2 linked regions of the Struthio camelus genome follow. The protein of the gene in region 1 purifies or fractionates together with the protein of each later gene. This does not show direct contact. Links are inferred from orthologs where the notes say so. Each region holds a gene or a part of one and is shown on either strand. Other genes may lie near its edges.

Region 1 (10,884 bases):
CACATGGTTTCCGTTTTAAACCATAATGACACACCGGATTCCTTTTGATAGGTGTTCCAAGAGAGCAAGAAATGGATAGCATCTCTGCAATGCTAAGGGACTGGAACTGTGCTGAGAAAACCCCTGAAGCGAAACGGCAGAGATTAACCATGGGCAGGACAAAACAACAAACCACTTGTGTCAAAGAAAATAACAACTTTAAAGTTAAGTAAGATGTTTCAAATTAGATTCATCTAATTTGAAACAAGACTTATTTCCTAGCTTTTATGCAAGTAAAGCACCCAAGGCCCAAGAATGCTGTGTAACAAGGAAATCTGTGCATAGAAGGAGCATTTAGGAAAAGTCTTTTAAGGACTTCAAAGGCTTCAGCTGAAGGGGGGAACATATACAAAAGAAACAGCAACAGGAGCAAGATGCTGTGTACCCCCAGCCTTTCGATACCTGCTGACAGTGGTAGGGATACTGCTTTATGAAGAATTGGGACACTTCAAATAAAGAGTTTGTACAGAAAGAAAGGACTTCAGCTAAGTCACAAGAGATTCAACTTGATGGCACTTGAAAAAAAAAAAAACCACACCAAAAAGGTCACCAATGACATTTATATTGAACTACGAAGGAAAGCTGGCAGGTGTGGAAGAACACACAATTCAGTACGATGTTTCTGTGAGGGATGAAGGATTGGAAAGTCTGAACTATCCTTCATTCGAAGATACAGAGGATAGAAACAGTCAGATAGGAAATGGAAGACAAACTCACTGAACTAGGTTACCAAGAAAAGAGGCAACAGTTGTACCTGGGGAAACTGGAACGCTTAGCTTTTAAAGAGCTCGGCTGCGGAGGCACACACCGAAGCTTTGCCGAATGAAGACAAACAGCGGAACGCTTCAGCGCCACAACGAAAAAGACGCAGGAAAAGAACAGGCCACGCTGGTGGCGAAGCAGTGCTAAAGCAAGCATAGAATAAAATGAAGTTAACAAGCCAGCTATCGCAATGAGCGCACACAGAAGTTACAAGCCAAAACATGAAGGCTATAGCACCGATCAAAAGTTCCTGCCTGCCTGCCAGGACAGCGGCAATGCTGACTGCACTACACCAAAGCGTATCCGAGAGTAGAAAATGCAAGGGTAAGGAGAATCATAATTTTCCCAATCTACATGGAGGTAAGGGCCATATCAGGAGATAATCCTCAAAACTAATCCCAGGTGCTACCAACTACTGTTTCATGAAACAGCTAGTTAGCCCGCAACACAAGATGCGATCCCTGGCTCAGTCCCCAGTAACATGCAAGACTTCACTTCAAATCTTACAGTTGAAAAGTGACATGTAATATAGCAACTCTAATACTGTTCAGTCTCCCTACAAGACCCACAAAGACTTAAAATCCATTAAAATTTATGATCAACTTTATAAAGGCAGACTAAAAAAACAAGCTTGTTAGAAGTAGTCTGTGAGGCAACCAAGAGTTAAACCTCTCTTAGGTTGGAAGACGGCTACTTAATTCAACGCACAATGTTCACAGCCAAAGCATACCACCTCTTAGAAAGGCTTGGAAAAAGGCAGGAGAAAGCCAGCATAGCTGAACAGTGTGCTGACAAGGGAGATGTTTGGATAGAAGAAGGTATCCTTTAAAAAGCTCAAGTAATGACCAAATGAGCATGGATCAAACTTCAGGAGACTAAACGCAAAATGCAATAAGGCAGGCCAAAAAGAAAAAATAGCGAGGAAACAGAAGGAATCCAATTATAAATTATAATAATACAATTCTGTTTCTGTCTAGCTAAAGTTTTTCCCCTGTAACGCCAGAAAGCAATTACTGGATCACAGCACGAAAAACACAATAGAGCAGACATTTTCTTCAGTCAGGAGGTGATTCAGCTATCAAAGTGGGGTGGGGTTTTTCTGCGCTATTTTAGGAAAAAAACACTGCTTTTAATTATCTAAAGCTAAGGCTTCCAAGGTTCATTCATCATGACTGGCACCTGCAGCAAAGGTATCTGCAGTTCTCTTTCTTTTTTCCCCTATTCTTTCCTTTTCAAGAACAGCACAAAAGGTGTGAAGTTCATGTGCAGCCAATAATACTGGAAGGTAAGCAGGACAAGAAGTTGTGGCTAGCTAGGGCATGTTTTGCATTTGCAGCATCAAACAGTGAGCAAAGCATATGTCATCATCCCTTCCCTCCTACAAAAGCTACCCAAAATATAAAAAGGAAGAGTGCTGCAGCAGCCAAACTAAAACTGAGAAAAAAAGGTGGTGCTGCTTCTTCCTGAAAGAGCTCCCCTTGCCAGTGAAGCAAATCAGCTGGGGGATAGGCTGGCAGGAGCGGCTGCAACACAGCATGGGAACTTCCGCCCAAGCACGGGACGCACAGGCTGGCAGCAGCTGGGGAGGGCAACGGTGCTGGCTAGAGCACCCGTGTTTGGGGAAAGCAGGAAGCCAGGATAAAAGTTGAACTATAAGTTTTAGGACATCAAGGCTGGATGAGGAGAAAGGGGCTTTAGTGATGCTTGGATTAAAGGACTCTTTGGTAAAGCAAAATAGTCTAAATTATAATATTTGGGAGACATCAGGGTTTGTATAGCTCATGGTTTTGGGAAAGAGGTAAGAGAAGGCATTCCTGTACGCAGGCAGTGGTGGGAAAGATAAGGAGGGCGGACAATTCCTGTAATTAAAGAAAGTTCAATCTGAAGTTTAAGTACTACTAGCCTGAAGTTTGGAATACTTTCATGGGCCGTGTTGATAAACGCATTTTTTTAAAAAATGCAGGTAATAAGGCTAAATACAGGGCTAATAAAATAAAACTAACTCACTAGTTTACTAACTTCTTTCTTTGAAATTTGGAAAAGAGATAAAAAACTATGCAAAAAAATCTTTTTTTTCCACCTAAGAATAATCAGATGTTTTTATGTCAATTAGTACCTAATATGCATCTGTTAGTGAAGTGTGATATCTTATGACACCCAGCTGTCTTTCACTGTATGATAAATGCCATTTCTATGGCTTGCACTGCATTTTTTGAAAATACAAACATACTTTCAGCATGCTTTATTTTCAGAGCGATAGTTATGAAAGAGCAGTATCAAACCCCCAGTGGGGCTCAGGGCTTTGTTTAATCATAAACAGATAATGGGAAATGAGATGAGAAGAACAACTGCTGATGAGTTGGCAACAACATTTCACACCGCATATGTCAGGGGGCATCAAGCAACTGGCTAGGCAAGATACTATTTCAAGAAAACATTTGGAAACATCTCTGTCAGTAGCTTTTCTTGCTAAGTGTGGCAAGAGCAAAGCGTCACTTTCTCCTAAGTGTAACTCTTAAATATGTTACGCTAAACCATTAATCTAAAAATGGCTAATGCAAACACACAGTGCTTTAATTCTGAGAATTATATAAAAATACTACACCCTCCTCTCATCCTATCGCTTGTATAATAACCACTGCCACGAGGCTCCTGTGCATAGTCCAATACCAATACATAGATAGCTGAGCACTGGAAAACATTTTTCAGCAGTTTGATACAAGCGATGAATGCTAGAGTTTTGTAATTCTGGAAAGCATTCCCCAGCCCGTAATATGCAGCCCTCACCTTTTTACCAAAAAACATGACATATACATCTATTTTCAGGTGGAAGCAAGTGAGCAGAGTAACATTTAAGAACATCTCCCATAAATGTCAGAGAATTTTAAACAACTTCATAGACTGCAAACCAACCAGTGGATCGTGAGTGGCTGAATCTTTTTTGAATTTGAGTTCCAAGCTTTAGAAAGCTTACGAGAACTAACTAGTTCCTTGATTTTATGGGATATATTCTTTGAATATAATTAAAAAGAAAGGTATATCCTGCAGAGATATTTTTAACTTTTTTTTTAAATCTTCCTAAATTCCTACGAAGTCTTTTAAAAAAATTCCTGTTCATAAAACCCACACATTAGAATACGAACAAACGTATGCATCCATTTCAGGACGCTAACTAAATTATCAGCTATTTTTATTCCAATCTTCTGATTAGTAGGATATCCTCAAAACAAATTTACCTATGTCAACATTTAAATTAGCTCTCAAATTATGCATACTCATTAATTTACATGAGTTTATGGCATCTAGTTCTCTACAAAAATACATCAGCACACAAAACCTCCAACGCATAGACGTCCAAAAATACTAAGCTAATTAACACAACGTTATATCAGACACTGAGAATCACTGTGGTCAGAAGGGACCTCTGGAGATCATTTAGCCCATGCCCCTGCTTAAAGCAGGGTCACTTTCAAAGTTAGACCTGGCTGCTTAGGGCCTTGCCCAGTCAAGAATTTTTCCAAGGATGGGGATTTCACCACCTCTCTGGCTCCTGGTTCCAGTGTTAGATTGCCCTCCTGAGAAGAACTTTTTTCTTGCATCTAATCTGAATTTCCCTTCCCGCAGCTTGTATCAGTTGACTTTTGTCCTTTGACTCCGCACCACTGAGAAGCATCTGTCCTCTATCTTCTCTACAATCACTCATAAGGCAGTTGAGGACGTCCAAAGCATAGGCACAAGAGCTATCCAACCAACTTTTCTTTTTAAACCATCTTACCATTATAGCTCGCCATAACAACAATAAGACACATAAAATAGGCTATAAACTGTCCCAGTAAAAATACTGATTTTTCACTGATTTTTTGAATTAGCTTTTAAATTGCTCAACAATGCCTAGAAGCTCAGGTCACAGACCTGAATCATGACAAGTAGCTATCATCAAGATTTAAGCAGATTCAAGCCGACAGTGTGACATAAGGTTTTCACTCTCAGTTCAATAATGGAATGAAGCCAGTGTTAACTTCAAGCTGAAATGCCCTTGTGCTTTGAAATCTCTAGTCTGTGATTGAGCTGTATCTATTCAGGTCACAGCATACACAAGTTTTAACTTTTAGTTAAATATGTTTTTATTGGTAATACAAATAAAAGCATCAAGACTGAGTTCCTTTAAACAAAGTTAATACCATTTGGATTTACATTAATGATATACCACATCTCCTTATCTATAGAGTTTTCATACAATATTGTGCCTACCACAGTCTTCATCTTTTAATGCAAAAGTTTCAGGTATCCATAAAATTATAACACAGATATAACATTAATTTCACCTATAAACGTATTTGGATAATCATTATGGGCTGAATGTGCAAGGCAGTCAGAAAACAGAGTCAACTTTCAACAGGTAAGAAATAGTTTTCATAAGAACAGAACTTGTCCAAGAAGTTCTCTCCAGCCCAGAAACTTAATCACAAACAAAAAGCAACTAATAGCCACTTGCCATAAGAGATCACTTTCCTACCCCCACAAATAAACTCTGAGACCCTTAAGTTGAATGCAAAAATATCTTTTTGCAAATCAGTCTCTTTATCAACCACAAAATTAGTCCAGGCTTTGAAGTCACTTTCTGAGGGCCTTGCAGGTGGAAAACTTGTCCACACAGGAGTTAAGGAAAAATAACAAACTAATTTAGATTTCTTCATGCTATTTAGGCTTTAGGGGTTAAAAACTGCATTTTCACAGCTTTCAGTGTGTATACTAGTTTAGAAAAAACAGGTAACGTAAGAAGCCAAAACTAAATGGAGCACCAGTAATATTCATTATTTACAGGACAGAAGAACGCATCTTCAAAGAGAAGCCAGAAAGGGATTCTCACTAAAATCAGGAATTTTAGAGTTCTGCCACATCAAGTGCGCACAGTTATACTCTCTTTAGGAGAGGCCAGATGCGTTTGCTGACACCACCACAGCTGAAAGCATCACAAACCTGACTCCAGAAGGCCAGACGGGGACAGACCTCAGGGGCTGCTGCGCCAGCACATGGCTCAACCCGGCGTTCTCCCAAGCGGCCGGCCGCCTTCACTGCGCGGGCAGAGACACGCGCTCCCTGCGTCCCGTTTTGTTTTCTGGAGGCTCTTCCCAATCTGAGGAGCTGACCTCCACCATCCCAACGCCCTCGCTTCACCCTAACGAAGCGGATCATCCATAACCCAACGGCTTTAGAAGAACCTGCGACCCCTGGGCCAAAAACTACATGCCGCCATTCAGCCGTGACAGAAACCTACCCCTACATACGCCTTTATTTCCTAAGCTGCTTCCAACCTAAGCCCCCTTATCCTTTTCTTTCCTCCTGTTCAAGGAAGCTGATGCTGCTCCTCTCCGGTGCGGCCTTTCATAGCCCTTTTCATTAGGAGACCGGCGCTTTCCAGGTCCGTAGGCCCCTTCCCCAGCGCACCGGAGCGCGGCTTCAGCCCTCCTTCCTTCACCTCGCCCAGCCACGGATCTGCCATCTCACTGGCAGAGGAACCTAAAGAAATGATATGTATGCGTTTAAAACAGAAGTTCTCGTGTTCAACAACAACGTTACTTCCCAGCCCTGAGGACCTCGGCGCCGCCTGCAGCGCCTGCCCCTCCGCAGAAAGCCGCGATTCCTAACGGTAGTTTATAACCCCGAACCCCTCTGTGTGTTGGGGGGGGGTGCGTGGCGGGGGGGCGGCGGAGGTCACATTTCACGACGGGAGGATCCCGTTTCTGAGGGAGAGCGGCGATTCTGAGGCAACTCGTGATTTTTCCAGCCGTCGGTCGCAAGCGCCTTCTCAGGCATCGGGGCTTCCAACCGCCTCCCCCCCCCCCAAGCCGCCGCGCTGGCGACGAGCAGCAGGATCGCCCCAAGAGTTGCCGGCGGCCGCCGGAACCGGGGCAGCCCGGCAGCGCCGGGTGCTTTCCGTCACGGCCGCCGGGGACGGGGTCGGGGACGGAGCCGCGCCCGCCGCCGCCGCCGCCTCAGCCCCGCGCTCGCCCCCGCCCTGCGGGCAGCCGGGCGATGACGTCACCGGATCAGGCCGACCGGCAATGGGCGCCATTTTGAAACGCCGAGCCCTGCAGCGGCGGCAGCTCCGTGCGGCGGCGGCCCCGACCCGCTCCCGGCCGGCGCCTGCCCCCCGCGGCCCCCCGCCTCACCGGCACCGCGCGACATGGCAGGTGAGGAGGGCCGCGCCGCGCCGCCCGGCCCGCGCTGCTGCTGCCGCCGGTGCGGGCAGGGCAGGGCAGGGCAGGGCGGCAGGCCGCGCCGCGCGGACGCGGGCAGCGCGGCCCTGCGCCGGGGCGGCGGGGCTGAGGGGCGCGGCCTGCGCCGGGGCTGGGGCCGGGCCGCGGCTGGGGGCGGCGGGCTCCCTTCACCGAGCTCTTTCCCTTCCCCAGGGGTGGCAGGAGGCGGCGGCAACGATTTCCAGTGGTGCTTCTCCCAGGTGAAGGGGGCTATCGACGAGGACGTGGCGGAAGGTAAGGGCGGCGCCGCCGCGGGCCGAGCCGGGCTGGGCCGGGGGGCCGCGGAGCCGAGGCGGGGGGCGGCCCAGCGGCAGCCGCGCTGCCCTCCCCGCCCGAGGCTCGCGGGACGGGGCGCACCTGGCCGTGACTAAGCTGGTGCCCGCGCCCCGCTCAGGGCAGCATCCCCGAGCAGGCGGGGGGGCTTCCTCCCGGCCGGCAGTCCCTGGGGAGAAGGAGTAACGACGGGGACTAACTGCAAAGGGGGAGGGGGGGAGGAGGAAACCGACCGCACAAATGGAGTCTGTCAGGCTTGCCGAGTTTCGCTCTGAAGCAAGGAGAGAGTGCGTGGCTCCGTCGTGTGGGCTTAACTTAAAAAGTAGGGTTTAAAGGCTCTGGCAGCTGTGAATGGATTTTATTCCTAGTCGTTAGCCTGTGGAAGCTGCCAATAAGGTATTTAAGTAGGAAAAACAGGCACACCTTAACGTTTCTCTGGAACCTACGAAGTGCAACGTGCTTTGGCATGAGTAGAAAACAAGAAATGTTTTACTTGGAAGAAGTATTTTTGTAGTGTGTAGAATTGACACGTGAAGCTCTGCTGGAGTTTGATGAGAACGTTCTCCTTTTTTTCTAAATTTTCCGTGTTTAAACTGTTCAAGTTGGAAATACTTCACTCTTTTCTACACAATATGTGTGTGAAACAGCGTTCTGTGGTATTTATTTAGACTTTTACTATATTAACTGACATTACTTACAATAAAATAAAATACAATAAAAAGTTAAGTTACTTATAGTCTCTGTGTGTGGTCGTCTTGGATTGTAGATTTTTTTGCTGGATGCGGTAAATGTTTTCTCTTACTGTCTACTATAGAGAAATTATTCTGACAGTGTTTTCATTTCCCTGCCACTTGTTTTGACATTCCATTCAAAATAATAGCTATGGGAGGAATAGACTTGGAAACCACTTGAGGAACTAGTGTTCAGTTGAGGTGGTTGTTTTCTTCCCCCCACCCCCCTTTTTTTTCTAAATAGATTTTGAGACGTAATATTATTTTGAAGTTTCCAGATTGCTTATGTAATGAGTTAAGTGGCTTTTATGACTTTCCAAAATGGTCCTTCTGTCTTAATATCTCTCACCTATATTGCTTAAAAGTCGGTTCTCCATGTTAGAATAAATATACTTCTCTGAGCACCTTACTTCCCGGTTACTGCTGAGCAACATGAATTTGTGTAGAGTCAGAAAGCTTCTGCTTTTTGAAACACCAGTGTCTTAAACCCCGTCAGTTAGCAAAGTGTGTAACAGCACTGTTCGGAGAAAAGAAACTTGTGTTACTGAAGAGATGAGTCACAGAGACTGATGAGTTTCTTAGGTTAAAGAGGTGAAAGCTCTATGTTTTGAAAAGTTATGGGGAAAATAGTGCCTCTGGTGTTCAACGATTTTTCTGGGATTTACTCTTGAGTTCTTAGACTTCTTCTGGAGTGAGGGCTGCAGATTATGTGAGGTTATTACGTGTAATTCCATTTACTTCATAGGGCAACTAATGTATGTAATCAGTCAGTGTGTGGTTTTGCAGAATTGGTACTAGGGTTTTGTTTTCCTTCTGGAATATCAGAATCAGTTGTAGTCTTAGTGACTCGCTGTCTATATTCCATTTTTGTTCTTTTCTTCCCTCTATTAGTTTTTGCCTTGAAATAGGAATTAAATGTGGAAACCACACAAAGCTGGTATGTTCATAATTGCCAGAATTTGACTCTGCAATATGCAATAAGAACATGATTCCATTGCTAGATTTTTGCCTTGTTACTGAGATATTGACTAGAACCACTGTGAATTCTGTCTTTTTCTGTCAGCTTGCTATTTTTGTAATTTTATTTCTGTGATTTGGGAAAAAAAATAGCCCTATAAAGGAAGGAAATCTGAAAATGACAACATAAAGTAGCTGTTAAATGCATTAAATACAGACTTTTTGTTTAATGTTCGTATAGACGGTTTATCTAGTGGTTAAAATTACGAAGCCTGACATTTGGACTTAACTAAACTTAACTAAAAAGGTCTCTTCCTTCTGAACTGTTATTCTTGAATACATTTTATACTCAGCAATTGTTTTTCAGAGGTACTGCTTTGATGGAAATATTAGCATGGCTATGACAAATTGATGCCCTTAGATTTGCAACTGCCATCTGCATTCTGAAGATTTTTTCTAAGTAGGTCGTTAATATAGAAAATTACTTTGTCTCTTCTTTGTGTTTTCTGTGTATTGAACCAGTAATCTAGTTATTTAAACACAGCATTGAATAGATTTCAAAGAAGAACAGTGTTTGACATAGCCAGATTGGTCACCTAAAGAGATGAGTAAAATGTATCAGTTATTGAAATATGCAGTTTTTAAAGCAGAAAACTTTGGCTGGATTCAAGGAGCAGGACTAGGGGGGAAAAACAGTTATTGAATGAAATAACTGGTATTGAAAATGGTAACAAATTTCATTTGACCTTGCTTGTGCAGAGGGGTTGGACTAGATGATTTCCAGAGGTCCCTTCCAACCTCAACTGTTCTGTGATTCATTTTAAAAAAAAAAAAAAAAAAAGTAAACTTGTGTTGTAATTATTGTTTGTATAAAAGCATGTGAATACAAACACAATGCTCATAGCCTGTGGAACTTGGGATTGTTATTCTTGGATTACCTATTTTGGTAGAAAGTAGCATTCTAAGTACAGGCTTCAATTTTTTTTTTTTTTTAATGCTGTCTCAGACCTAGTTAGTTTTGTGATTTCGGTGTTTTATCCAATTTGGTCCACATGTTCAAAAAAGTTCTGGTTTTGTGGGTGGGGGAAGGTTGGCAAGCAAAATATCAAACGGTTACCGTTACTTAATGCACGAATATGCCCAAATCCTCTGGGCCAGATGTTCTGCATATAATCTGTAACTACTTCTGGACATAATTAACAACGTGTGTGTGTGCACGCGCACTTGCCCCTGTGTGGGGCTTCTTGGTTTTATAGCGTGCACTGTAAGTCTTCCTAATTATCTTGTGCTATTGACAAGTTGGAAATTCTTGTCAGAACATGAAGCTGTATACTGTGGAGATCTTAGATTTCCTACTGTTGATATTGTAGTTTCTTTGGGTTTTGGTTTTAAACAGCTCCCCCCCTCCACCTTCCCCCAAACGATCTTTATGGGTTTTTGGTTTGTGATGAACTTCTGTAAGTGCTGTTTTAATTCAGTACTGATTAAATATATCTTCCTGTCTCAGATGTGAACAGTTTTAAGAGTGTGATTACCCCACTAAATAAAACGGGTAAAGACTTCAGCTAATGAAGTTCCCCAGATGAAAGCAGTACTTGTTTCAAGTGCTATATTTGAATTTTTTTTGAAGCAGCTGAGTCTGAAGCCTGGTCCTGCGAATAATTGCGGGACATGGTGCTCTTCCTTTGCAGTAGAGAAGAGATGCTGTGAAATCCTGTTCATTAACTTAAGGATGCACCTTTGTAAGGTATTTCATAAGAAAAGAACTCTTTCTCTACCAAAAAGGTTGTAATTGACTTTAAGAGTAGTTGTGCTGTTGTTGGTTTCCTGATCATTAAAAGAGAAACTACAGTTTTTGAAAT
Region 2 (10,316 bases), on another chromosome or scaffold:
CGAAAAGTTAACTGGGAAAGCGGTTTTAATTGGTGCCTCTTTTTAAAGACTGGATGACGTGAGCTGCCTTGTGATTTTGGAACTCTCCTTATATAATAGAAGGACTTTGCTTTGCCAGCCCAGCCTGACTGGTGTGACCCTCTTCCTCTCTGATTTCAGTCATAATAATAACATCCAGCACCTATTCAGTGTCAAAACCCACCACATAAGTTAACTAATCAAAAATACTATCAGTTGTAGTTTACAACAATAGGAGCACCTTTTACTCTCAGGATACTAAAGTATTTTGCAAGCTGAACTCCCATTGAGCTAAGTAGAACCTGGACGGAGTTTTATGCGTATAGCAAGCCATGCACCACCAGTGGGGTGGAAGCAGAGCGAATGAGACATTTTGGCTAAGAACACTGGAAAAAACATGTATGCTTACTGAAATAAATACCATGGAGTTTTATTGTTCTCCTAGAGCAGGCAGGATAAGCACTCCTCAGGAGACGGCTGCAATAAACCTGATGTTACCTTTTTTTCCTGTCTGCCAGAGCTCTGTAGCAAAAATAGATTCATATATTTGAATCTGAATCATATATTTCTGGCGCAAACTATAGCCCTCACAACCACTGTTTAAGAGTTCACTGCGTATTGGCTGTCAAGAGTGCTGATACTTATAAAGGATCAAATAAAGGAAGGAGACCACTTTTCTATCAATATTATTGTTTTCCCTCAGGCGAAACAAGAAGCAGAAAAAGGAGCAACTAGTAGAATTAACTATTTCTCAGTTAATTCTAACATATCAAAAAGTAATAAAATCAAAGCACACAATCCGTTTCTATTCTGATAGTCTGGAGAAGGTGGTAATGAGACTTTAAAATTTTGTACTGGAAAGTTAAGAATTTGAAAGTACATTTTCTTTTTTTCCTTTTTCACTGAAAAAAAATGTTAGCTAAGAAAATCAGGGGACCCTAACTAACTGAAACAAAGTAAACCCAAACAATTTTCATGGGAAGACTTCAACTGAATGAAAAGGAAAAAAGACGAATATGTGGGAATTAGGGAAGTTAGAGAAACATCTGCTTAAAATTCTATCTAAAGACAGAGACACAAGATCATCTGGATTTGTATCATTGAAATTAGGACAGAAGTTAAGAAAGTGAAGATACCTTTGAAACACTCTCGTGGAAAGGCTATTTCTTGACTCACAAATCAATTTCTGATCTCAAGTGAATTCCCTTTCCACTGAACAGTAAGTCCAACCCTAGAAAAAAAATCCCAACAGAGGATTGCTTGAATTTCCCTCAAGTGAGGGCCAAGAAATACAGGGAAAAACACTAGACTTGGCAGGTCTATAGTTTATCTACCTCAGAAGGATGAAGAGCTGAATTGACCCTGTTGGCACACAGACCTGTTGTTTTACCAGTCTAGATATTTCACCCGATCTTAACTCTTTCACATCACTCCTGTATCATGCTCATGTGAAATGGTATTATATATGTTTCCGATACAACATGCATTGGAAAGAATGGAAAAACATCACTGCACAGAGTCCGCGCTGACTTGCTGCCACCTGTCGTCATTTCCCCCTTCCCCTCTGCCTCTTCCCTGCGGTCGCTTGACATCTCCCTTCTTCGTGCCTTTTGTACCAGGTTATCGTTGCACCTTCCAGCGGTGCCCTGCTCCTCTTTTTCTACCAAGTACGTGGCTCCCTCCTTCAGACTGACTCCTCTGTTTACTGTTGATCGGGAACCCTCACTCCCTTTTCCACTCCAGCCTCTGGCGAACGCGGGGCCCCGGCCCTTTCTTCGTTCTCCGCTGTGGCGCTAAACTGGGAGCTCGCTGCTCAGGAGCGAATGCTCCGTATCAGTGTGCTGAAATACCGTAGTTCGTCTCACCTGTTCGTATTATCGAGATATGGAGGAGATCTTTGTTTTCCTTCGGGCCTGTCTGCGTCTGCTCCCAAACCATGGCCTGTCTCTTGGAAGTCCAGCTTTCCGTTTACATTCAGCACAGCCAATTCTAGATGTTTCCCACTTAACCCAATGCTTGCAATCTTGCTGTTCTCGTTACCACCAGAGCCTTGAATTCAGGGATCTGCTTGACTCTTGGCGGTCATTTACTGTGGCTCAGTTGCCCCAGTTTTCCGCTGCTTCACTCACAATGTTTCTGTAACTGCATCCTTATCTATTCAGGCAATAAGCATTTGAATCAAGGCCCTGGTATTTCCCATCTAGGCTTGTAACTTCTTCCCCCTTGAACTTCTGGCATGACAGCTAGCTTGATCTACTCAAGCAAAAGCTCTTACGTCTCCTTCCATGCCCATTGCTGTGGTCCGAGCCAATCGCCTCCTGCCTTTCCTCCTTATTTTCCTGCGTCAAGTCAAGTCCTTTGTTTTCCCGTTCTAGGCCGTCTCAGCTCTGCCTTGGTTGTTGCTGCCCCACGACTGTCTCCACTGCGTGGCTCTTCTCGCTGTTCACCGGGGAGGCGGGCGTCCCTGTGCGTTTGTCTGCTTCTCGCGGGAGAGCCTTTTGGCCCTTTCCCACGCTGCTCTTGCCCACAGAGCCTCCACCGGATAGATTGGTGATACCCAACTTTGTTGCAGCAACCGTGAAGACTAGGCAGCTATGAAAGAGGCTACGCTGGAATTGTTTATGTGCGATGTTGTTGTTGCTTTTTTCATGTATATGCAGCACTCTGTGCAGTATCTTTCCCTTTCCTCTCTCTGGATGCCGCTTGCTTTCTTTAGACCCTGGGTGCAGACAAGCACTGCTTGTGCGCAGGGCTTGTACAGGGGGATTTCTGCAGTGTGAATTTCAAATAACACCAGCAAGGTAACAGCCACCAACATGAAGGCAATGATATTTCCTAAGCACTATGATCCACAGTGATATAGTACAGTTAAGAAGCATTGCTCTGTCCTTAAGTTGTCTTGTTATGCTATGAAAATACTCCAGAACAGGGTGTATGATAAATACTGAAACCTCAAGAGCACTTAAGTACAAGCCCAGGACTTAAGAAAGGCATAGCCCCTTTAAGACTATTCTCTTGTCCTTATTGATCTTGGTGAGACCTGCAGCATTATTGTAGCAGGCATTTTATATTTAAGTTGGGGTTTTTAGAGGCATTCTGGAGCTATATAAAGAGCCCTTTTCACTGACATCGGCATCAGGCTTGTTATAATGTGAATGGCATCATTACAGTTCTCTCATTAACATCATAATGGCTCTGGAGGAACAGTGAGTGAAAACCCCGGCAAATGGAGTGGAGTAGCAATGTATAGTAGTCGTACTGTGCAAAACCGCATACGGAAAAAGTTTGACATTTTAACCTTCAGGCTGCTGTAGATGCCTCAGGGTGTCCTTGCACTGCATGCGTTTGGCTGACAAAGTGGAAAAACTGTGGTAGCCTAAGGATTGAGGGCTGGGTTCAATAAAAAATTGTGCCTGGCTTCCATGCCACTGAAGCCCACACAAGGCTCCCAAATGGATTTCTTAAAATTGAATCCAGCCCTAAGTGTCAACCTTTTGCTGTAATTTTGTATAGTACATGTATTGTGTGCTCAAACGTGCATCTTTCATCCTTTACTTCCAGTGGTGTTAATGGAAATGTAACAATGCATGTGCTGTTCTGCAAGGTCTCATTGAAATGAATGGGATTTTGGACGAAATCCCTACACTACATACAATAATGTACTACAAATGGGCTGGGCTTGTGGCTGGGGGATGATGAGATCTGGGTTCTATTTCTAGCTCTGACGCTGGTTTGCTCTGTGACTTTTGGCAAAATATTCAAGAGTAGCTTTTGCCACCCTTAACGGGGAGAAACAGTATCTTAATTCTTTAGGAGTAATGCCGGAGCTCTGGCAGAGTGCCGACGTTAGGTACGGTACCACTCTGTCGGTAAGACCGACCTCTTCAGCCTTGCAGTTGCGTGGTGCCGAACTTTACACGGAAGGAGGCTGATGTTTCAGATGTGCCGAGTACTCGCAGCTCCCCTCCCACTCATTTGCAGCAGTTGGAAATCAGTGCTTCTGAAAATCAAACAAGAGCAAATCGCATGCCCAGAATCGGAAGCCCTTTTCAAAGACTGGCTCTCGGCTTCTGTGCACTGAAGCAATTTCTTTGCTACAAAATGGGGCTTATTTTGTAGCTGAGTGACACCACGCCGAGACCTACAATTTGGGGGGGGGGGGAGGTTGCCTTCTTTTTTCCCCCTAAGGAAGCTCTATGTTTTGTTTTTATTCTATTTGAAAACATGGAGAATGTGCATGGACAGTAGCTGTTTATAGAAGTGAACTGGCCTGCCTCTATTAATTTTGCATGTTGTAAATAGCAGCAGCAGTTCATTTACTTTACAGGCTGTCCACAGAACTCAGTTTTTCAAGATAAATCAGCAGCGCTGTGCAGAAGGCATCCCAACACTTCCTTCCTTCCTGTGTGTTTCTGCTTAAGCATAGAAAGACCTGTTTGTGATGAAACATGGTAAAAAAATGCACAGTCCAGATCTCCAATGCTATTCTCATAAAAAATTTCCACAAAGAGATGCTGAATTCATTACAAGCAAAGAAATACCGACTTTCCACAAGCGGCAGCGAGTTTCTTCCAACCCTTATTCTCTAAGGACAAATGCTGCATGTTGACATCATGCCAACATTAGGAGACTGATGTCTGACTGTGAGTGATGCCTCAGTGCAGATTAATGAGACGAGTCCACGGGTGCTTTCTAACGACAGTGTAATCCTTTCACGCACGAAATCTATGACTTTTTAAGCTAGTTTGTAGGCTTTTTTTTAGATCTTCTCCTTAGGTCAGCCGACTCACCCACTCGTGGTTTGGACCAGACTTTCCATGTGTCGGCACTCAGCTGGCAACCCAAGGGGCAGGGAACAATGTGTATTGTCTGTGTCATGGCTCGTTCCTAACGGGCCGGTCCGGTGGCCTGGGGTTCCTCGTGTCAGCGTTTCTTTCTCCAGAAAAAGCAAGATGGCATTAATGCGCTACTCTGAGAAAAGGGGCCGGGGGTCACGTGTAACGTGTGCTTCCTTGCCTGTAAGCCTGGTTCAAGCTAGAAAATAATTTGATTATGAGGAAGGGGTTTATGCATCTCTTAGTGCATTTGCGGTGGCGCCTGGTGGCCTTCACCGAGCTAAATGCTCAGGGATTTCAGCTGACTTCCCATTCGCCTCCCGTCCTCTGCCTCAGCGAGGAGCGCAGCGCAGACCCGGCGACGCGCGCAGCTCAGGAACAGAAAGTTAGTGCGTGCTGGAAGACCGTTTCTTAATAACGTAGCAGCCTTGCGCATTCTTCAAGGATTTAAGAAAACAACCGGCAGATGTGAATGATTTATTCTTCTCCTTCTCCTGCTGCCGTTTCTTTTCTCCCCCCCCCCCCCCGCCCCCGACTAGACAGAGCTCCGCCGCTAACGCAAACAACCGCCGGGCTTCCACCTTGCCCACCTGCGGCCCCCTTCTCGCCCTGCGCTTGGGCCCTTGCGTCCCCCCCGCGGGAAGATTGCACGGGGAGGAAACTATATCCCGCTTTCTTCGAGAGAGGAGGAGGAAGAGGAGGAGGAGGAGGGGCGAGGCTGCGGCTCGGGGCATTGTTCCACGCGCCTCTGCCGGGGAGCCGGTGCCGCTGGACTCATCCCCGGCCCCTGGCGGAAAGTTTGCTCGGTGCGCGGCGCTGCGCGGCGCTGCGCGGCCCGGCTGGCGGCGGCAGGAGGCGGCTCGCAGCCCGGCGCTGGCCCTGCGGTCCCCGCTCCTGTTTAATATTCTGCCTTGCTCCGCCGATGTTGTGCTTGGCTCCTGCGGGACTGCAACTCACGGCTTGAAACCGGAGCCAATTTTCTGTCTTAGTCTCGCAGTGTTTTGACTGGAGGCAGATCCAGTTCAGTCCGAGCGGGGCTAGTGGAAACAACTACCTAAGTCTCTTCTGTCTGTTCCGTTTGGGAGGGAAGAAAGAAGAAAGAAACGCAATCCCCAACTGGTGTGTGCGCGCACACACACGCACACGCACACACACACACACGCACACACACCCGCCGGTGCCGAGCGCGCTGTGCCAACGCCACCGGGAGAATATGGGAAGCGAGTGAGCGGATCCGTGCCGGTGTGTGAGCGGTGCCGGGCCGGGCCGGGGGGCAGTGGGGGGACCCCGCGCCCTGTGTGGGGAGGGCTCGGTCGGGGCTCGGCTCTTTTGCTTGCGACAAGGAGGGAGGGGGGAAAAAAAGAAAAAAAAAAAAAACAGGTTGGCAACGTACGCGTGCCCGCCTGTGTGCATGATGCATCTGCTCCGGCCGCGGCGGAAAGCCCCGGCGGAGGGCGGGCAGGTGAAACGCGGCGGCGGCGGGCTGCGGGGGCACCGGGAGGGCGGCTCGGCTCGGCCCGGCCCGGCTCGGCCCGGCCCGGCTCGGCTCGGCTCGGCCCGGCTCGGCGCCGCTGCGCGGGGCGCTGACGCCGCTGCTTCGCTTCCAGGTGCCGGGCGCCCGCGATGACCCTGGTGCTGCCCATGCAGCGGCTGGGCCACCCCATCGCCGCCGCCGCCGCCGAGGGAGCCGCCGACCTCGCCGCCTGCCGCGCCCTCTGGGAGCCGCCCTGCTGCGGCCGCCCCGGCCCCGGCCCCGGCCCCGGCCCCGGCCCCGGCCCCGCCGCAGCCCCGGCCCCGGCCCCGGCCCCGGGCGCAGGTAGGCACCGCCGCGCCGGGCGGCCGGGCTGCAGGGGCAGGGGGCGGCGGGTTTGGGGCAGGTGTATGAAACCCGCTGGTAGCGAGCGGCGGGGGCGGCCGGGGCGCCCTGACCGGCGCAGCCGCTCGTCCGGCTGGCTGGAAAGCGGGGAGGAAAGTTTTGCCCAAGCCGCCAGGCCGGGGGATGTGTCGAGCCTGCCAGCGCTGCCCCTTGAGACGGTCCTCGGTGGCCCGGGCCAGCGCACGTTGCGCGCGGTGTGTGCGTGAGGCAGGTGAAGGTTTTACTTTTGATCGCTACGGACATATGCGAAAATATGTGGTGGAGCTCTCCTGTAGCGAGAGAGGGAAATGAGAAGTATTTTGTTTGGAGAACCTCCGGCAAACCGCATGTCATTTGTCATATCTGATTTATTGCCCACAGGATCACATTACAGGGGAATTTCAAATCCTGTAACAACACCCAAGATCACATACTTTAAAAGGAAATATGTGGAAGAAGAGGATTTTCATCCACCACTCAGCAGCTGTACACATAAAGTATGTTTTCTAGTAGTCATTATTTTTACTCCGAGTTTCAGATGCTTAGTAACGCTTGACTGACCCATTTCCAGAAGGCTGAAATACTCCACTGAAATTAGGAGAATGATCCAGCTGTTTGCTTAGAAATGAATAGTTCTCACTTGTTCGCATTTATTGTTTTGTTGTCATCGAATGGCTTCAGAAGGAAAGGCATTTCTTCAGCTATAACAACTGTAAATGTAAATGCTCAGAATAACTTTTGTGTTCTTAAGAACATAGTTTTGCTCTTAAGTAGCTTACATCATCTTTATAGAGACAGTTCTCTAGAGTTTAAACACCAAAAATGAACAATGTAAATAAGAAGGATGCATGTTTCCCCATTCACTCGAAACTTTTTACAGAGGGGAAAATAATAATAGGTTCCATATAGCCCAAACAGGTATAGAGTTTCTCTAGAGAAACAGAATGACTTGAGAGGGAGTTCAATCTCCTTCAGTATTTAATCCTGTTTATAGAAAAGCTAATAACTACAAAAGAACAGATTAGGAAATGAAAAATATATTTTTTTTAATTAAAGCTCTCAAGAGAGGGACTAGAGCAAACACTTCTCAGGCCGGTGAATACATAAATTGAAGTCTAACTTTTTATGAGAGATTTTATGCCCTTGCTCAGTCCTGTAAGGAACTGAACACCTGCACTGATGTGCTGAAGGCTAGCTTGCACCTTGAGACCTCCTCCTTACCTGACTGGATCATACCTGGCCCATGGTACTCCTGTGCTATCCGTTTACGATTGGAGATAGAGATGACATAATACAATGTGATTAAAGCACTGCTCAGGGAAGGCAGTAGTACCATGAGAGCCCCAGAGGCAGAAGCCAAAACAAAGCAAGAGGCAGAGCGAGTTTCTACATTATCTTCGCTTGCATTGCAGTTCCCACCTGGAGAGGCAGCCTCTGAGACGAGATGGGATTTCAGGCCTCATTCATACCACGGGCACCTCCTGGGGAGGTTTGGCCATTTGGATCCTATTTCTCCGGAGAGATTTTCACTTAGGAGAAGTGAGCAGTAGTGACAAGCTCGCTCCCCCAGGACCTCAGGATAGCCAAAGGAGTTTTCAGCTACAAATAGTATTGGCTGGAAGTGAATAATTGACCGGAAGGTGAAAAATTGCCCTGTCGTTAATTCCAGAAGATGTTTCATCTGCTTTCAGAACAATGAATAAATGGCACAGAAGGTGCTGAAAAATGTGCTCTATTTATACATATATGTACATATATATGTTGTGTGTGTGTGTGTGTGTGTGTATACATACGTTCATACACACATCATTCTCTAATTTCAGCCAACTCTTTTCTTGAATAGATTGTTGGATTTTTGTACCAGTGATTATTTGCCTCCTAAAAATGAACAGTTGCTTCTCCTTTTTAATAGCATGAAAAACAGCTGTAGAGGTACTGGTAAGATAGACCTGTCTCAGACATCATTTTGTGCTATTGTAGAAATGTATCATGTCAGAAATCTCGGGTCACCGATTTGTGCTTTTCGGCACAGATACGTTTTCTACTCTGCAGCGCTGAGCTCTGGGGGAGGGAGGATTCCCACCAGATTTCTTTGAATTCCTTACACGTTTTTATACCTCCTCTGCCCAGTAAAGAGCGAGCTATGTTCTCGGGTTACTTCTTCCCACGGCGGGTATGACGGTAGGGCCCTGGAGCCCCTCTCCAGGACAGCTGGCAAAGCATTTGTAGTGGAAGGCCTTTGACAACTTGTAACTACTGGTGGCTCTCCAGGACATATCTCCAGGAGGATCTCAGTCCAAGGCTTATGGGTTTGCTCAGGGATTTTATGGGTTCACTGGCTATTAATGCAACATAAAGGACACAAATTAACCTATAGGCTTAATGTAATTTAAAGTGAATCATTTATTGCAGCAGATTACTCCTTCTAACACAGAAGAGTTTCAGCTGGGAACGCACATGGCAAACACGGCCAATTCTTGTTTTTATGAGGCAGTGTGCTGCTTCTGAGCCTGCAGACAGGCCCAGGCTGTGGAGAGAGCTGGAGGGCTGAGGAGAGCTGAATGGATGTGAAAAGCAGCTGTGCTTTAAGCTCTTTCAGTCCTCATAGCTACGACTTCCACTCTGCAAAAATGCTGTAACCATGTGGGAAAGGGAAGAATGATCGAGCCACGGATGGGGGGGGGGGGATTTAGAGCAGCCTCTCTTTGTGCTGTGCTTCTCTCCTCCTACGCAAACTAAATTCTTACTAAAAATGAAAATTAGTTAATACTGCTTACAGTAGCACGCATTACCCCCTCTCTGTTTGGATTCCCAGGGTAGCGATTACAGCGCTGAAGCCAGGGCCTCCTGGGGGCAGTAACCTGTTCGTGCTGCCAGTGCCGAGAAAGGCAGTCCTGGGAGGACCGTGGAAGGGAGAACAAATCCGCGGGCTCAGAGCCAAGCTTTTCTCAAATCCCTACCCGCTCTTAGTTTCCTGACCTTGTCCCTGCCGACCCGCGTTCCCACCGAGCGCGCAGCACGCAGGGTGCAGCGTGCGGGCCGACAGCTGCTCACCAGATGTGGCGATGCTTTGAGACTGGCTTCCCCCTGCCTTCCTGCCTGCGTGCTTTCGGTGCGCAGGAGCAGTCCGAGGCAGCCTGGCAAACAGAGACCTCCTCACCGGCGGGCCCGGGCCCCGGGCGGGGGATGAAATGCCCCCGCGCCGGCTGCGCGAGGGCCATGGCCACCGACCGGGATCGGCAAAGCTTTCACAGCGGTGGGGCTGCAGGGGGGGAGCCGTCGCCTCGGCTCATGGCTTTGTCGAAGCCCCACGGGGGACAGAATTGGGTCTATTTACATCAAAAAGCCCCCGGGGATCGCTGGAGCAAAGCTGCCCGACAGTTTTACAGTCTAACCCAGAATGCAAATAAAAAGCTAGATTTGTGCGTCCGGATTTTGCTCTCACGTCCTGGATTGGTGCCCTGTTATTAGCTCTCGGTGGGTAACACTAGGCTACTTATCTCCTAAATCTGGGTAAATTTTGTGGCCAACAGAAAGCAAGTCCCCAGCTACACGGGTGTGCGCCACAGAGCCAGTTCTAGGTGCTGCAGTAACAGAATGAGAAAAGT

What was found.
Region 2: the proteins of PPP2R2D (region 1) and SERTAD4 purify together in Homo sapiens (affinity purification with mass spectrometry; 3 studies listed by BioGRID and IntAct, counting the BioPlex papers as one, with this or other methods). This does not show direct contact. The link is inferred for Struthio camelus from reciprocal best matches to the Homo sapiens genes PPP2R2D and SERTAD4.

Annotation. Positions count from the first base shown.
Region 1 is NC_090948.1:1,115,888-1,126,771, reverse strand, and holds the start of PPP2R2D (serine/threonine-protein phosphatase 2A 55 kDa regulatory subunit B delta isoform), read left to right. Parts: upstream 1-6,842; 5' UTR 6,843-6,988; coding exon 6,989-6,995; intron 6,996-7,214; coding exon 7,215-7,295; intron 7,296-10,884. UniProt on the Homo sapiens protein: Substrate-recognition subunit of protein phosphatase 2A (PP2A) that plays a key role in cell cycle by controlling mitosis entry and exit. Involved in chromosome clustering during late mitosis by mediating dephosphorylation of MKI67.
Region 2 is NC_090944.1:113,206,771-113,217,086, forward strand, and holds the start of SERTAD4 (SERTA domain-containing protein 4), read left to right. Parts: upstream 1-5,978; 5' UTR 5,979-6,095; intron 6,096-6,460; 5' UTR 6,461-6,476; coding exon 6,477-6,669; intron 6,670-7,089; coding exon 7,090-7,205; intron 7,206-10,316.